Mus musculus: one gene and its partner. The protein of the gene in region 2 purifies or fractionates together with the protein of the main gene of each other region. This does not show direct contact. Links are inferred from orthologs where the notes say so. Each region holds a gene or a part of one and is shown on either strand. Other genes may lie near its edges.

What was found.
Region 1: the proteins of Tuba1c (region 2) and Txndc9 purify together in Homo sapiens (co-immunoprecipitation; 3 studies listed by BioGRID and IntAct, counting the BioPlex papers as one, with this or other methods). This does not show direct contact. The link is inferred for Mus musculus from reciprocal best matches to the Homo sapiens genes TUBA1C and TXNDC9.

What each region holds. Positions count from the first base shown.
Region 1 is NC_000067.6:37,992,804-38,000,030, forward strand, and holds the start of Txndc9 (thioredoxin domain-containing protein 9), read right to left. Parts: upstream 4,406-7,227; 5' UTR 4,306-4,405; exon of another isoform or gene 4,090-4,305; intron 3,039-4,089; 5' UTR 3,019-3,038; coding exon 2,830-3,018; intron 1,308-2,829; coding exon 1,189-1,307; intron 1-1,188. Other genes in the region: Eif5b (eukaryotic translation initiation factor 5B), read left to right, coding at 5,487-5,521. UniProt on the Homo sapiens protein: Significantly diminishes the chaperonin TCP1 complex ATPase activity, thus negatively impacts protein folding, including that of actin or tubulin.
Region 2 is NC_000081.6:99,026,740-99,033,685, reverse strand, and holds the start of Tuba1c (tubulin alpha-1C chain), read right to left. Parts: upstream 3,796-6,946; 5' UTR 3,265-3,795; coding exon 3,262-3,264; intron 1-3,261. UniProt on the Homo sapiens protein: Tubulin is the major constituent of microtubules, a cylinder consisting of laterally associated linear protofilaments composed of alpha- and beta-tubulin heterodimers.

The DNA of each region.
Region 1 (7,227 bases), on a different chromosome or scaffold from region 2:
GCTCTACCCCAGTGTGGCAGGCTGGGACTTAAGGAAGGGAAGAAGGTTCCATGCCTTCTGCCTTTCTAGTTCTCAGTATCTGCTTTCATCACCTGAGAGAATGAATCCAAGGCATTCAGTCTCTGAAAGGTGTTATACGGAAGTGGTTGGCTCTGAGGCTAAGCTGAGGGCCAGGTAGGCTACAGGAGAGAGAAAGAAGGCAGGGCTGAGGTACAGTGGGTGAGTCAGTTACCCTGCATGTCCACCTAAGAGAGGCGGCACCAGAAAATTGCTATTATGATTCTAAATCTGTTATGATCAACTTTTCTAATTTTTAAAAATTCTGGCCGGGTGTGGTGACGAGCGCCTTTAATCCCAGCACTCGGGAGGCAGAGGCAGGCGGATTTCTGAATTTGAGGCCAGCCTGGTCTACAAAGTGAGTTCCAAGGACAGCCAGGGCTATACAGAGAAACCCTGTCTCGAAAAACCAAAAAAATAAAAAATCTGAAATCTGGCTAATTCTTAAGTTGTCATATTTCAAAGGCTGGCAATTAGCCCTTTCTGAAGGAAACACACACACACACACACACACACTCATGTGTGATTGAGTCCTTTGTTTTAAGACCTAACCTCTTGGGCTGAGGCTTTAGCTCAGTTGTAGGACAGTTGCCTAGCACGTACAAATCCTTAGTTCTTGCTCCCTCAAAAAACATAACCCGGGGAGGCGCGCTACTCTCCCTGTCTAAGCCCTCAGAGACTGGGCTGCCTTAAGGGAAATCACTTCTCTCCACATCTGACAGTTCCACCCACGGTTCTGATGGAAGACTTGGTCAAGCCTCTGTCTCCTTACCAAGAGGACCAAGACTGGAAGGATAAACAACTGGGAAAGCTGTTGGCTTCCAATCCCCAGCATCCTGAGAACACAGCATATCAAACGATTGTTTTGGTAAGAAGTACACGCATGCACTTCAGGTTGTCTTTGGAGTTACATGGAGAAGCCACAGGAGTGCTGACTTCCAATAAGACTGACTTATTTACTTGCACATTGCTGGCTTGTTAGTTAAATCTCTACAATAATGAAAGCACCTGTGAGCACATCACCACGCAGGAACATGGCAGTTATCCTTTTAATTTTCTCAGTTACCAAGTCAGCAGTGTGTCTACGTTAATGTCTCATCACCATAGAGATGAAGTCAGGAGCCAGGTTACCTGAATGTGGTGTCTCTGTAGAAATGGCAAACCACTTTCTCACTCTCCTTGACCTCTTGAAAGAAGTCTCTCTCGCTGCCGATTTCTCTGTACTCCCCGTGCCCTTTGGAAAGCCACTCCTAATTTCAAGAGAAGCAAAAAAGACCCAGCTGAAATGTGTTTCAGTGACACCAAGTGTCTTACATGTCTCAATCACTGTGTACTTCTGTAAAGGAATCAATTCTATAAATAGCAGGTGTTCCCATCCGCAGTTGGCTTTCCTATGCCGAAGTGGCAATTAGTGCAGACCTAGTCTGTGGGCAGGAGTGACCGTCTCTATGATGGTTCAATTAAGACAGTTTTGCATCTTATTGATTTACCTGCTTCATTTTAAGTTTCACAGTCAGAATTTAGGTCTGAGAGACATGACATGAAAATACCAATTTAACTTTCACATGCATGCTCTTTAAACTAGTAAAATCAGGATTGTTTGATCCAAATGATTACAAAAGTGTTTTTCTGTTTATTTTGTGATGCGAGGGACTAAACCAGGAAGAGCAGGCTAGGGAAGAGCTCTACACTTTAGAAAATAATGTTCTTACAGACAATTAAGGGATGCTGAGTGTGGGAGAAAGAGTGTTCTCCAGGGAGAGCACACCAACTGGCTATCCACTACCGAACGGTCAGCCTTGAAAATGTACACACAAGCAACATTATACAGACTGAGCATGGTATACTTAGAAACAATGTCCTATCCACAGCAAAAACTAAACAAACCAAACCACCTCAAGAAATAAAGTCCGTCTATCCTGGGGACAGTGCAGTCATCACCGCTCAGGAGCTTAAGAACCTATCCATCTCAAAACAGGGAGGGCTTCTACACCAGCCAACAGTGGGCAGAGTCCTCAGAAGGAAGAGTATTATATCCATGTGGGGTCCAGAGCCAAGGAAAAGCCTCACAAGGAAACGTTCAGCTTCCCAGGCTGAGGAAGGGCCATTACCCACAATCCTGGGAACTCTTCCAGCCCCTTCTACCTTTCCTGTGGCAGAAAGCTTGACACCTCAAACAGATGCTCACTCTCCCTCCTCAGGCAGCAGTGGCAACACCCACCCCAGCATTAACTGACCAGGGTTCTAATGAACCTTCCGAGCCTTCACCTTCTCTCTTGTAAGTCAGTGTGACAAACCAACCACGTCACTGAGTGGCCATGAAAACCACAAACAGAACAGGGGTGCTGGCGCTCAACTCCAGCACTTCGTAGGCAGAAGCGGTGTTGTCTGTGAGTTCTAGGCCAGTCATGGCTATACAGTGAGATCCTGCTCCTGTCCTGCCCCCCCACAAAAGATAACCTAATAAAAATGCAGAGTCTAACACTTAAATATCTTCTCGTACAGAACCATGATACTTCTTTCTGATACGTGGACCCTAAGCTTGGTCTATGAGAAGACGTTTCATCTCTCTTTTACTATCAACGCCCCAGTCAAATGCTTCATCTTGCCTAAACCTTCCCTAATGTTTCATCCCTGGGTTAAGTATTGAACATTGACGGAGATGTGAATTCAGAACATCCTGCAAGTGAGGAGGGAAAGTCACATGACTGCAGTGCAGTCGGGAGCTGGGCTCCAGTGATTCAGTGAGCAGGCGGGCGGGCGGGAGGTTACTTGTTTCTGCTGCTGAGCCTTCCTGAGCGCCGCCAGCCTCTTTTCTTTGAGCAGCTCCAGTTCATCTTCACCAATCTGATCCAGTTTCTGAATTTCAGAGTCCAAGTGATTCTCCACCAGCTTAGCGGCCTGGAGGAACTGGTTCTCCAGGACTTCTGAGAACATGTCGACGGATCCATTACCTTCCATTGTTCTAAGTGGTCTTGGTGCTGGGGGAGGGGGCATAAAAAATAAGTATTAAGTTTACATTTCGGGGGCTTTGTTGTTTTTTTTTTTTTTTTTAAAACAGGGTCTCTGTAACAGAGCCTGAGAGGTTAACACAACAGATGCCATGTTGGAGGCACTATTTTGGCCTTAGAACTCAGCATGTAGGCCCCAACACCTGCCAAAACCAGAATAAAGATGTAAACCATCAAAGATCTCATTTATGGTTCCAGAATCCAGGGAAATCCCTAAATACACTAGCTTGCTTTTCGGCATACTTCCTCAAAAATATCCTGACATAAACGTTACAAGTCCAGGTGACAGCCCATCGCTTCTACGACTAAAGGCAGGCTCTTGAAGCAGAGAGAAGTAATTACACACACGTCTACTTGTGTCCAACATCTGCTGGAGAACAACATTAATCTGGGAGTAGATTAATTAATGCAACCAAGACAATCCCTACTCTCTGAGCCATGCCCACTGGCCAACCTAATCTACCCAATTTCTCAATGAGTCTTTCTTCCTAGGTGACCGTAGATTATTCTATCAAGTTGACAGCTAAAACTAATCAGCTCACACACAAAATAAGCCTGGGCATGGTGGCTCATGATTACAACCTCAGCTCTCAAGGGCAGAAGCATAAGGGTCACACCTCATATTTGGAGCGATAGGCCTGGGCTACATAAGGTCATTTAAAAACTCCAACTGTCAGCTTCTCATAAATACTATACAACTGAAAAGAAGCTGTACTCCCAGGATCCCTAACTCGGGGAAGAGAGAGAAGGATCCGAGACCAGCCACTCAGAATCTGCATCACAGTATTCGTTTATCACCGAGAATTTCACAGGAGACCTTTACGTTTAAATGCGGAGCTTCACGCGACTAAAAGTGCTGCCCTGAATTAGGCGGAGGTGGTCACTGCCTTTATATTGGGGGTAAGGACATAACTTTCTATTTATTGAACCAAATCGAGTATTATTCTTACCGACGAACTGGGGGCCCTGACACCTATGTACTCCCCTACAAACTCCTAACCGAAACCCTAACCCCATGTACCTGTCAGCAGACTCTTCGCCACTCCCTGAGCTCAAGAGACTGGTGGAGTAGTTCCGGGGGGACCCGATTTCGCACTAACTGGGGCGCATGCGCCGTAGCCTCCGCAGCCGCCCAGACGAGGCCCTCCCAGCCGCTCCCTCGATCCCAGCCGAGGATGTGTCCTTCATCAACACTGGGACGCTGTGGCACTATCGGCCACATCACCCTCAGCCGTACCTGGACTATTGATGAGGCCTACGGAGAGAGGAAGCCGCAGATCAAGAATACCCACCGGGTTCACACAGGTTTCAACCTCGCAGCAATTGTTAAGGGCAGAGAAGGGGCTGTTAACTCCGCCACTTCATTGGCTACAGTCCTCTCGCGATACAATGTGAGACACTCGCGGAAAGGGCGGTGGCGAGTGACGAAAGCCTCGGAGAAGCCCTATCCTCCGCCACCCGGAACTACTGGCTTCCGAGCCTACGCTTCACGTGGGCTAATGGCCGGAGGGATGGGCGCTAGGCACGTTGGGAATTGTAGTTCTTTGTGCACTGACTGCGGGTCCCGGCTCTACCGGGAAACGAGCCGGGTCTTGAGCCTGAGTGACAGAGGGGCTTCATTTCTCGTTGTGTTTAATAGTTTCGAAAGTGTAGCTTACAGTACATTATAATTTATACACAGCTCACACTAGTAACATCGCCCCGAAACATGGAGAAAATTTTCACCATGCCAGGATCTTCCCTCCTGACTTTCTTAGGCACATGAATTTTTAGAACTTGCTCATACGAAGATTCATATTAGGGGACCCGTTGCTGTGTCCTTATGTCTTTTTCCCCTTAATAAATGTACACAGTTGACAATTCATGAGTGTTTCTGAGAGGGATCCCATTTTTTGTCCTGCCACCCCCAGAACGCTCATCATTGACTCTTTGTGGTCCTGTAATGGACTTCCCGCAGCTGAGGCCGCGTAGGCAGGGGAGAATTTTCAGTCCCACTTCTGCGTCGAAAGCCAGCCCCGGGAAGGGTGCCGACGTGAGAAATGAACGGCCTCATTGTCGTCCTCTAGGTTCTAGAACCCGGGATCCGCCGGACGTCGGTGCGCGGCGCTCACTTGCGGCGAGGGGGCGCCTGGGTTCCCACCTGGCCGGCGGCTCTACTGGAGACGCTCTAGCCGAAGCGCCGCTCTCGATGAGCCGCGCCCTGCGTCCCCACGCCGAGGCGGCGGGGCGATGCGCTTGCGTACTGAGGGCTCACACCATATGTGCCCTGTCCCAGTGCGCGGGTCTGTGGAGAGCCGGGTGCGAGAGGCGGCGGCGCGAGGGGGACCGAGCCGAGCGGGCATTGGAGTCAGCCGGGAGACAGTGGGTCTGTGAGACACCGAACCGAGGGGCCGGGGCCGCGAGCGCCGTTGACAAGCGATGGGGAAGAAACAGAAAAACAAGAGCGAAGACAGGTAGGCGGCGGGGCTCGGGCCGGGGGTCCTCCGGGAGTCGCGCGGGGCCCTGGATGGGCGAGCCTCGACGGGGCGCGTCCCGCGGCCGGGGCTCGGGCTGGGGTCCGAGGCGTGGGGCTGAGGGGCTCGGAGGTCGTTTGGGGGTCCGGGCGGTGTGGGGCCGGGCTCGGGCGCTGCTAAGCCAGGCCTACGGCCCAGGTGAGTGCGAGCCGGGCCCGGAGAGCCCGGGTGGGGCGGGCCGGGAACGGCTCCCTCGCCTCCCCTGGCCCTGGGAACGCCTCCCAGAGCGGCTCAGGAACTTCGGAGGTGCTCGGGGTTGCGGAGAGGTAGCCCAGCGGCTCCCTCCTCCCGTGTGCCAAGTTGGAAACACTTCTGGGGTTATTTAAAGTCCCGGTTGCCCAGTCCTGCTTTCTGGCTTTCCATTTTCCGGCCTCTTTTTTTTTTTTTTTTTGCGTATGTCTTGGCTTCCTACCGCTTCCCTTAAGAAAGGAGGAGGGGAAGAAACCAGTCAAGGGTCGCTGCTTTCTAACCTTAAAAGAAAAAGCCTTTTCAGGGGAAGGAGTGTGTGTTTATGAGCTACTTAGGCGGAGATTTGGGGAGCATGCCTGTGCCACGTTCGATTAAGTTCTTTTACCCTTTTCAGTTGAGTTGACTTCCTGGGCGTCTGCAACCATCTGTTCCATTTCATCTTTAAGTAATGGCCATTCAACTTAATTTAAAACACTACAGGTAACCGAAAACAAAACCAAGCCTTGTGGCACTTCATCGCTGTGGCTCACACAGACATGGTTTTGAAGTTAAAGCTGTTGAAGTGTATGTCGGAACACTTAAGTGTGTGGACCTCGCAGTTGGCTATCTGGCAAGAAGAATTTAAAGACTAGGCTTGTATTTTGGTTTTAGGTCTGTTGGAGAATGTAAACTGGTCTGCGGAATAGATTCTGGGTTTCTTGTGGCAGAGTTAGTGTTTATGAGGAACAGGGTTTATTACAGATTTAGATGTGAGCATTAAGAGGGACAACAGAGGAGGGTTCTGTAGAGCAGGGAAGCTGAGAACTTCCTCTAGAATGGGGGTAGGGCTTCTCAAAGAGTGGCCTGAAAGTTACTGTTAGTCAAATCAGGAGAATAAAAAGAGGTAAGCAGATATTCCTGAACCTTTGGTAGGACATTGGCATACGTGAGTAACATTTTATTTATTTATATTTTTCTGAGAAGAATTTTGAGTTCTATCAGTCATCTATCTATGTATGTACTCTGCATTGTCTGTTTCTGTGTTAAATCATCACCCTACCCTGCCTTTGCCGGTCTGCAAACATCATCACTTGGCCAGTTCTAAAATACCCACTTGTTGGACAGTCTAAACCAAATCTGAGGCCTTTCATGTGTACAAACGTCAGGTGTATCTGGAAGATAAAGGTTGTGCTGGGGCCCTGTAGAAATGTAACAAGACAACCACAGTTGGATTGGACTAAGGAATAGGAACTGTTTTCTTACCTCTAAAGCTAGTTTCTGTTTTCCCTGATAGCGTTTTTTAGAGTTGTTAAAACTGGGTCTCACACAGCTTAGCCTGGCTGCTTCTCTGTGTGGCCAGAGGGGCTTCCTTGAACCTCCTGACTCTCCTTCACCTTGTAAGGAATTACAGGAGTAGATTACTAGGAGGCTTCCTTGAGTTTTTAAAGTTTTTTTTTTTCCAGTTTATCTGTTTGATT
Region 2 (6,946 bases):
CAAACTAGCCCCCATGACTCACAAAAAAAAAAAAAAAAAAAAAAAAAGGCTAGATAAGCAGATAGTGGTATGCTAAGAGTGGCCAGAGGCAGCCTTGCACCCAGTGAAGACTCTAATCTGCAAGAACAGTTTTCCTTCCCGGTCTCACTGTTAATCCATCTGGTGGGATGTTTTAAAGATCAGAAGACTCCTAAAACTTCACAAAAGTTTAAGAAATGGGGCTGGAGAGTGCCAAGAAGAAAGGAGTAATTAGTGGCTCCCTAGTAGATAGATCAGAGTGTACATTTCTGGCACTGTGGAAAAGTACAAGATTCTAACCATGGTGGTCAGGGGGACACCCTTGTTTTCCTTTCCTTGCTCAATAGTCGCTCTGAAGTTACCAAACCCATTTCCTATTGGTCCAATGAGACAATAAGTGCCTATGCTGAACCCACAGGATTCAGAGGGAGCCAGTGTTCATCATAAATCTGTATGAGATGAGGACCTTGAATTTGGCAGAAAACCTTCACATTTGACAAAGAAGTCTCCCACAGTTGCTATGCTTTTCCTTTAGTAAAGACTTTCATGCTTTTAAGGTCATGAGCAGGAAACTCAATTCAACATCCAGGGTCTCTAAAGAGCAGCTTCTCAGGCCTCAATAGTAAAACAAAACATTGCTCACAACCTTTGACTAGTCTCGTCCTTCCACCCGTGTTTCCCACAAGACAATCAAGGGCTTGGACCACATCAGTGAGATCAGCGTCTCCTGTGCGGAGGACTGTGGGGGAGGTGCAGCTCTGGTTCAAGTGACCTTCACCTGGACTTTAGAGCCTCCAGTCCCCAGAAGCTAGAAAGAACCACAGGCAGGCCTAAGGAAGTGCGGCGTCGGAGGCCATAGATTCTAAGGTGGCATTTCAACAGTAGCCTTTTGGTGCTAAACAGCTTCTTTGTGCAGGCAAGATAGCACATGAAGGTCAATTTCCGCCAAGCCAGATAATGAGTTCAATCCAAAAGACCTGAGTCTCCACACAGGCATGCGTGGCAGACATACATCCACATGAGAAATGTAAAATCTTTACAAACAAGCCTGTCTCCTGGAAGCTAAGAAGCCAAAGCCAAGAGGAACAGATGAATCACTTAGTCTAGCCTCGACTGGATTAAGAGGCTTGCTGGTGTAGCAAAGCCAGACACTTAAGCCATGCTTGCCTAATAGGTGAGCCTGGGGCTTTTCTGAACTGTATCTTTGTGGGTTTGCTTGATCAAAAGCTGTTACGGCATCCCTCTTTCAGAATACAATTCTGAAAGTTTCCTGGGGTGTGGGAGGGCTGTAGGATAGCCTGGGAAAAGAGCCTACTAGTGAGCCTGATCTCGGAACTGCAAGGAAAGCTGCCCTCTCCTGCCCCCACCCCCAAGCATACCAACTATCCAAACGTACACTCCACACAAGTGAATAAAACAAAGAAGCCAACAGCTTTGGGGGCTGGAGAGTTAGCTCAGATGAGAGAGGTCTTGCCTAACTATGTGAAGTTCTGTGTTCCATCCCAGCACCACACAAAATGGTGGCTCGGGCCAGTAATCCCAGTCCTAGTGTGGGAAGGAGGCGACCAGCAGTTCAAGGGTCACCCAGGACTATAGACAGAGGCAGCTTGCGCTACCTGAGGGCTGTGCACCTCACTTCCCCAAAGCTTCCATAGACCTTAAACAATACTGGGATGGGGTTTTCTTTAAAAAAAAAAAAATTTTTTTTTTTTAGATTTATTTCTTATATGTAAGTACACTGTAGCTATCTTCAGACACACCAGAAGAGGGCATCAGATCTCATTAAGGATGGTTGTGAGCCACCATGTGGTTGCTGGGATTTGAATTCAGAACCTTTGGAAGAGCAGTTGGTGCTCTTAGCTGAGCCATCTCTCCAGCCTTTCTTTTAAATTTCTATTGTCAGCTGACCAGGTGCAGGCTAGGTAAATGGTCTCTCAAATAGTTAAAACTTATTTAGCAGGGAGGTTCCTTTTACCGAAATTATTCACTCTGTAGCCCGCTCTAGCCTGGGACTCACTAGGGACTAAGGAGCCCCAAACTCATGATGAGCAATCCCCCTCCCTGTCTCAGCCTCCAAAGTCTAGAGAACTAGCCACTCTCCTCCAAGCCGGGCTGAGTTCCTGGTAACTTTGTTTGCTTTTGAGACCGGGTCTCATTGTGCTGGCTGACCAGAACTCAGAAGATACTCCTGCCGCTGCCTCCAGAGCCCAGGGTTTGATAGCCTCACCCATTTTTTTCTTGAAAACTGAACTAATACATTGTTAACCAGGTGAATAACCCTAGCTCTTGGGTAGTGGAGACAGAAGGATCTTGGTTTTAGTTGAAGGTCATGTTTGGCCACATAATGATTTCAAGACTGGCATGAGCATAAGACACTCAAAAACCAAAGTGCAAGCCAAGTGGTTTGCCTTTCATCTCAGCTCAGGTAGCAGAGGCAGGCAGAGCTCTGAGTTCCAGACCATCCTGGTCTACAGGGTGAGTTCTATTACAGCCAGAGCTACAAAGAAACCCTTTATCGAAGGAAGGAAGGAAGGAAGGAAGGAAGGAAGGAAGGAAGGAAGGAAGGAGAGAGAGAGAGGGGGGGGAGAGGGGAAGGGAGAGAAAAAAACCCGCTGTTGGTAGTTTACTCTAGCTTTAAATTGAAAAAAAAATTTTTTACGGACATTTTTTCTTAACTGGGCTAAATATAAATATGCCGTTGAAGTAACACTAAAAACTAGGCTGGCTTAGGGGATCTGACGCCAATTATTCCCTCCTACGGAGGAGCTCGCCTTCTCAGGTGCACAGCTGCAGCTGGAAGGGCCGGGGACTGGCCACAGGTGACTCAGCAGCGAGTCACAGGGCGTGGAGACGGTGCCCGGAAGTATTTGCTCAGTCCTGTCCAGAGCGCACGAGGTCCTCTGGGCTATCCCAGCTGGGAGAGCGACATCATTTGAGGAAAATGGAGACCTTTGAGTTTCTCCAAACTCTCGTGATCATTGTGAAAGTTCCCTGCCTTTCCGGGAGCGACCGGCGGCCGAGACGGGATGCTCTCCCAGGAGGATCGAGACAGAGGATCGGGACGAGCCCTCCAGCCCAAAGCGACACTAGTTTAGTGGACTAGGCTCTCACACCCCAAACGCCAGAAGCCAGTCTAACTGGAGGCGGCCGTCGTGGGGCTATTGCAGGTATCGTCTCCCGGGCAGCCCTCAGCTCCCGCGGTCCCTTCAGACGACCTCGCCGCTACCCCAAAGCCATACTCACCATATTTAGTCCTTGAAGTGGTCCGCGAAAACTGAGGAAGTGAAAAAGGGTGACGAAGATCTCCCACTAACAGACTACCAAGGAGTCCGGGGGAGAAGCTGTGTAAGGTCCGCCTCCAGGACAGGGCTTATATACCCTGGCCGGGCCACGCGTCGGGAGGGCGGACACCGGACCCCGCCCCGGGCCGCAGCGAAGCCGATGATTGGCGGGTTCGAAAGTTCAAATCAAACTCCGTAGAAGGAGCTGGAAGTGGGAAGGGGAGGAGACACCCAGGGTCCACGCCAGGGCCAGGTGGGGCGGGGAAGAAGGTGGGGAAGGCGATTGGAAGTTGGAGGACAGCGAGATCTTTGTGGAGCTCTGGCCGGAAGAAAGTCCCAGGTAGAGAGGGGGGCGGCCTGGCTCAGCCACCGGGGACTCACAGCTGATCGCCGCCGCACTTGTGGCTCGGTCGCCCCACCCAGGCCTTGGAGCCCGGAAGAGTGAGCCAGAGAGGTGACCCGGGGCTGCCGGCAGGGTGGTGACTGCGACAGCTTCAGGGGGCCAAGATGGAAACGCCCAGTCAACTTGACGGCACAGTGGGAGGGGTGGAGCTGAAGTTAGCTCAAGCCAAAGCCGGTTACAACATCACCAGGGTTGCAGCCCCTGAAGGCAATCTTTCCTAACCTAGGTCTCAGTTGCCTCCAATGGGTCCTAAGCACCTTACTCTTTACTCCCGCCTTCTAGAAGGCTAGCCCTCTCCTCCTTCCTCCCTTCTCCCCACCCTTCCCCCAAGTCCTGAGGATATTTGCCAGAGCATCCCGAGCGCCCTTTTATTTTCGAAGGCAGAGTCTGCCTCAGCTCCTCTTTAAGCAAACATTCCGAGTCTTAAGAGCCTTAAGAGGCACAAAATTATTCGGCCCATTATGAGAGGAACTCGTAACTCCCCCCCGCCCCCCAAGATGGGTCCCCGCTGCAGTGCTCAAGCTAAACCCAGGCGATCCACACTAATTCCTTTCTCTGCGTCTGTGGGATGCAGAGTTCACTCTGTAGTACCACATTCTCTCTGGCCCAAGAGCCCGGGGGCTCCTCTCCTCATTTTACAGTCAAGAGGAGAGGAGAGTTCGGGAAACAAAGCAGGCAAGTGTCTCCACCGCGGGAGACGTTGGACTTCCCTGCCCCACTGCCCTGCACTAGACAGACTTGTCTGAACAACTCCGCAAAGCAGATTTCTCAGAAGTGCCATTCAGTCCTGCTGAGGAGATAGACAGATCCCTGGGAAAGTTTAAGGAACTGGAGTGGTGTGCTTGCTTGTCCTCTTCATACTAAGGAGAGAGAGACAGGAAGAGCCTGGAGCTCACAGGCCAGCTGCTCTTGCAGTATCAGAGTTCAGTGAGGAACCTTGTCTCAAAAAAAAAAAAAAAAAAAAAAAAAAAAAAGGTGGAGAGTCATAGAGGAAGACGGAACATATTGACCTCTGGCCTATGCACGTACACAGAATCTCTCTCTCTCTCTCTCTCTCTCTCTCTCTCTCTCACACACACACACACACACACACACACACACACACACACAAATTAAAAAGCCGCCCTTATTTGAATGTGATGATGCATACCTGTATTTCAGCAGGCAGGGGACAAGACTGGCAAATTTGATCCAGGCTACTTTGTTTCAAATAGAAAAGACTAGAATGCCAGGGATGGCTGTGAAAAGTGGTACAATACAGGCAGACAAGATGGCTCAGTGGTAAGGTCATTTGCCACCAAGCCCGAGGAACTTGGGAGTTTGACTCCCAGGACCTATCCAGTGTAAGGAGAGAACCAACTGTAACTGATTAAATTATCTAATCTTTATACCAATAAAGTACCAGAGGCTTAAACTATGGTAAAGACCTGCTAGCTCAGCAAGGCAACTTTCTTTTCTTTTCTTTTTTTTCTTAACTACATACAAAATATCTATTTACAAGCCTGATTCCACAACTAAACTGCTAGCTCTTTAGAAATTTCTTTCTGGGGCTGGAGAGATGGCTCAGTGGTTAAGAGCACTGACTGATCTTCCTAGAGGTCCTGAGTTCAAATCCCTGCAGCCACATGGTGTCTCTCAACTACCTGTAATGAGATCTAATGCCCTCTTCTGGTGCTGCCTGAAGACCGCTACAGTGTACTTAGATATAATAATAAATAAACCTCTTTTAGCTACAGTGTACTTAGATAAATAAATCTCTTTTTAAAAAAATAAATTTCTTTCTGAGTCAATCTACAGAGCTAGTCTACTTTTCTCTTGAGCTCCTCCAAACCGGAGAGGGCTTCTTAGCTCTCTTTCCTAGAATATTGTTTTACCTGTGTCCTGCCAGCTGTGTCTCTGTTTTCCTGTAAGTCAAAGAGAAAAATCCCTAGCCCTTACTTGGAGCTCCTTCCATAAAGAAGACTCTTCCAAGCAGAGAGAGAGAGAAGGGGAGATGGGAGAAAGAGAGTACTGGAGAGGGAAGAGGGAAGGGGAAAGGGGAAATGGGAAAGTGGGAAGAGAGAGAGAGAGAGAGAACCTCTCCCAAGCAAGTTGCCTTAAAGTTAGCAGGAACTTTCCATTTTTTAGCATTCTTATCTAATGAGGCTTTTAGAGGCGCACCTAAACTGCATCTCTACAGGACTCATTTAGCCGCCTTTGACAAATGCAATTATCTATTTAAACTCTTATATTTTGCTAACAATTAGCTTTTCTATGTACAATAATCAAGTATCCTGTAACACTAATTCCCAAAAGTTGTCCTCTGACATCCATACACATGCCGCAGCAAACACATAGTCTATGTAAATAAAAACGCAAGAAATAAAAAGAAGTCGAGCAATGGTGACAGATGCCTTTAATTCCAGCACTTGGGAGGCAGAGGAAGGCAGATTTCTGAGTTCTAGGCCAGCCTGGTCTACAGAGTGAGTTCCAGGACAGCCAGGGCTACACAGAGAAACCCTGTCTCAAAACAAACAAAAAGGAATGGACCAGGCAGCAGCTGGAGCAAAAGCTTCCAGTCACAGAAAGCCTGTGGTGTTCTTGGGCAGAATGCGAAGGCCAGAGGGATGGAATTGATGCATGGTGAGGAGCTCTGGCACAGTGGAGCATGCCTGTAAACGCCACACGGTGGAGCATGCCTGTAAACGCCGCTACTTAGGAGGCTGAAGCAGAAGGACCACTGGTTTGAGGTCAATCTGAACAATTTGGGAAACTCCATTTTCCCTAGCATTTATGATGGATTGAGTTTAATTCCCAGTGAAGAGGTGAAAGGTAAGAAAAGCACAAAAGGGGCTGGAGAGATGGCTCAGCAGCTAGGAGCACTGACTGCTCTTCAAATCCCAGCAACTGCCGGGCAGTGGTGGCACACGCCTTTAATCCCAGCACTTGGGAGGCAGAGGCAGGAAGGTTTCTGAGTTCGAGGCCAGCCTGGTCTACAGAGTGAGTTCCAGGACAGCCAGGGCTACACAGAGAAACCCTGTCTCGAAAAACAAAAACAAACAAACAAAAAAATCCCAGCAACTACATGGTGGCTCACAACCACCTGTAATGAGATCTGACGCCCTCTTCTGGTGCATCAGAAGACAGCTACAGTGTACTTACGAATAATAATAAATAAATCTTTGGGCTAGATGAAGCAAGGGCAGACCGGAGCGACCGGAGCAAGCAGAGGTCCTAAAATTCAATTCCCAACAACCACATGAAG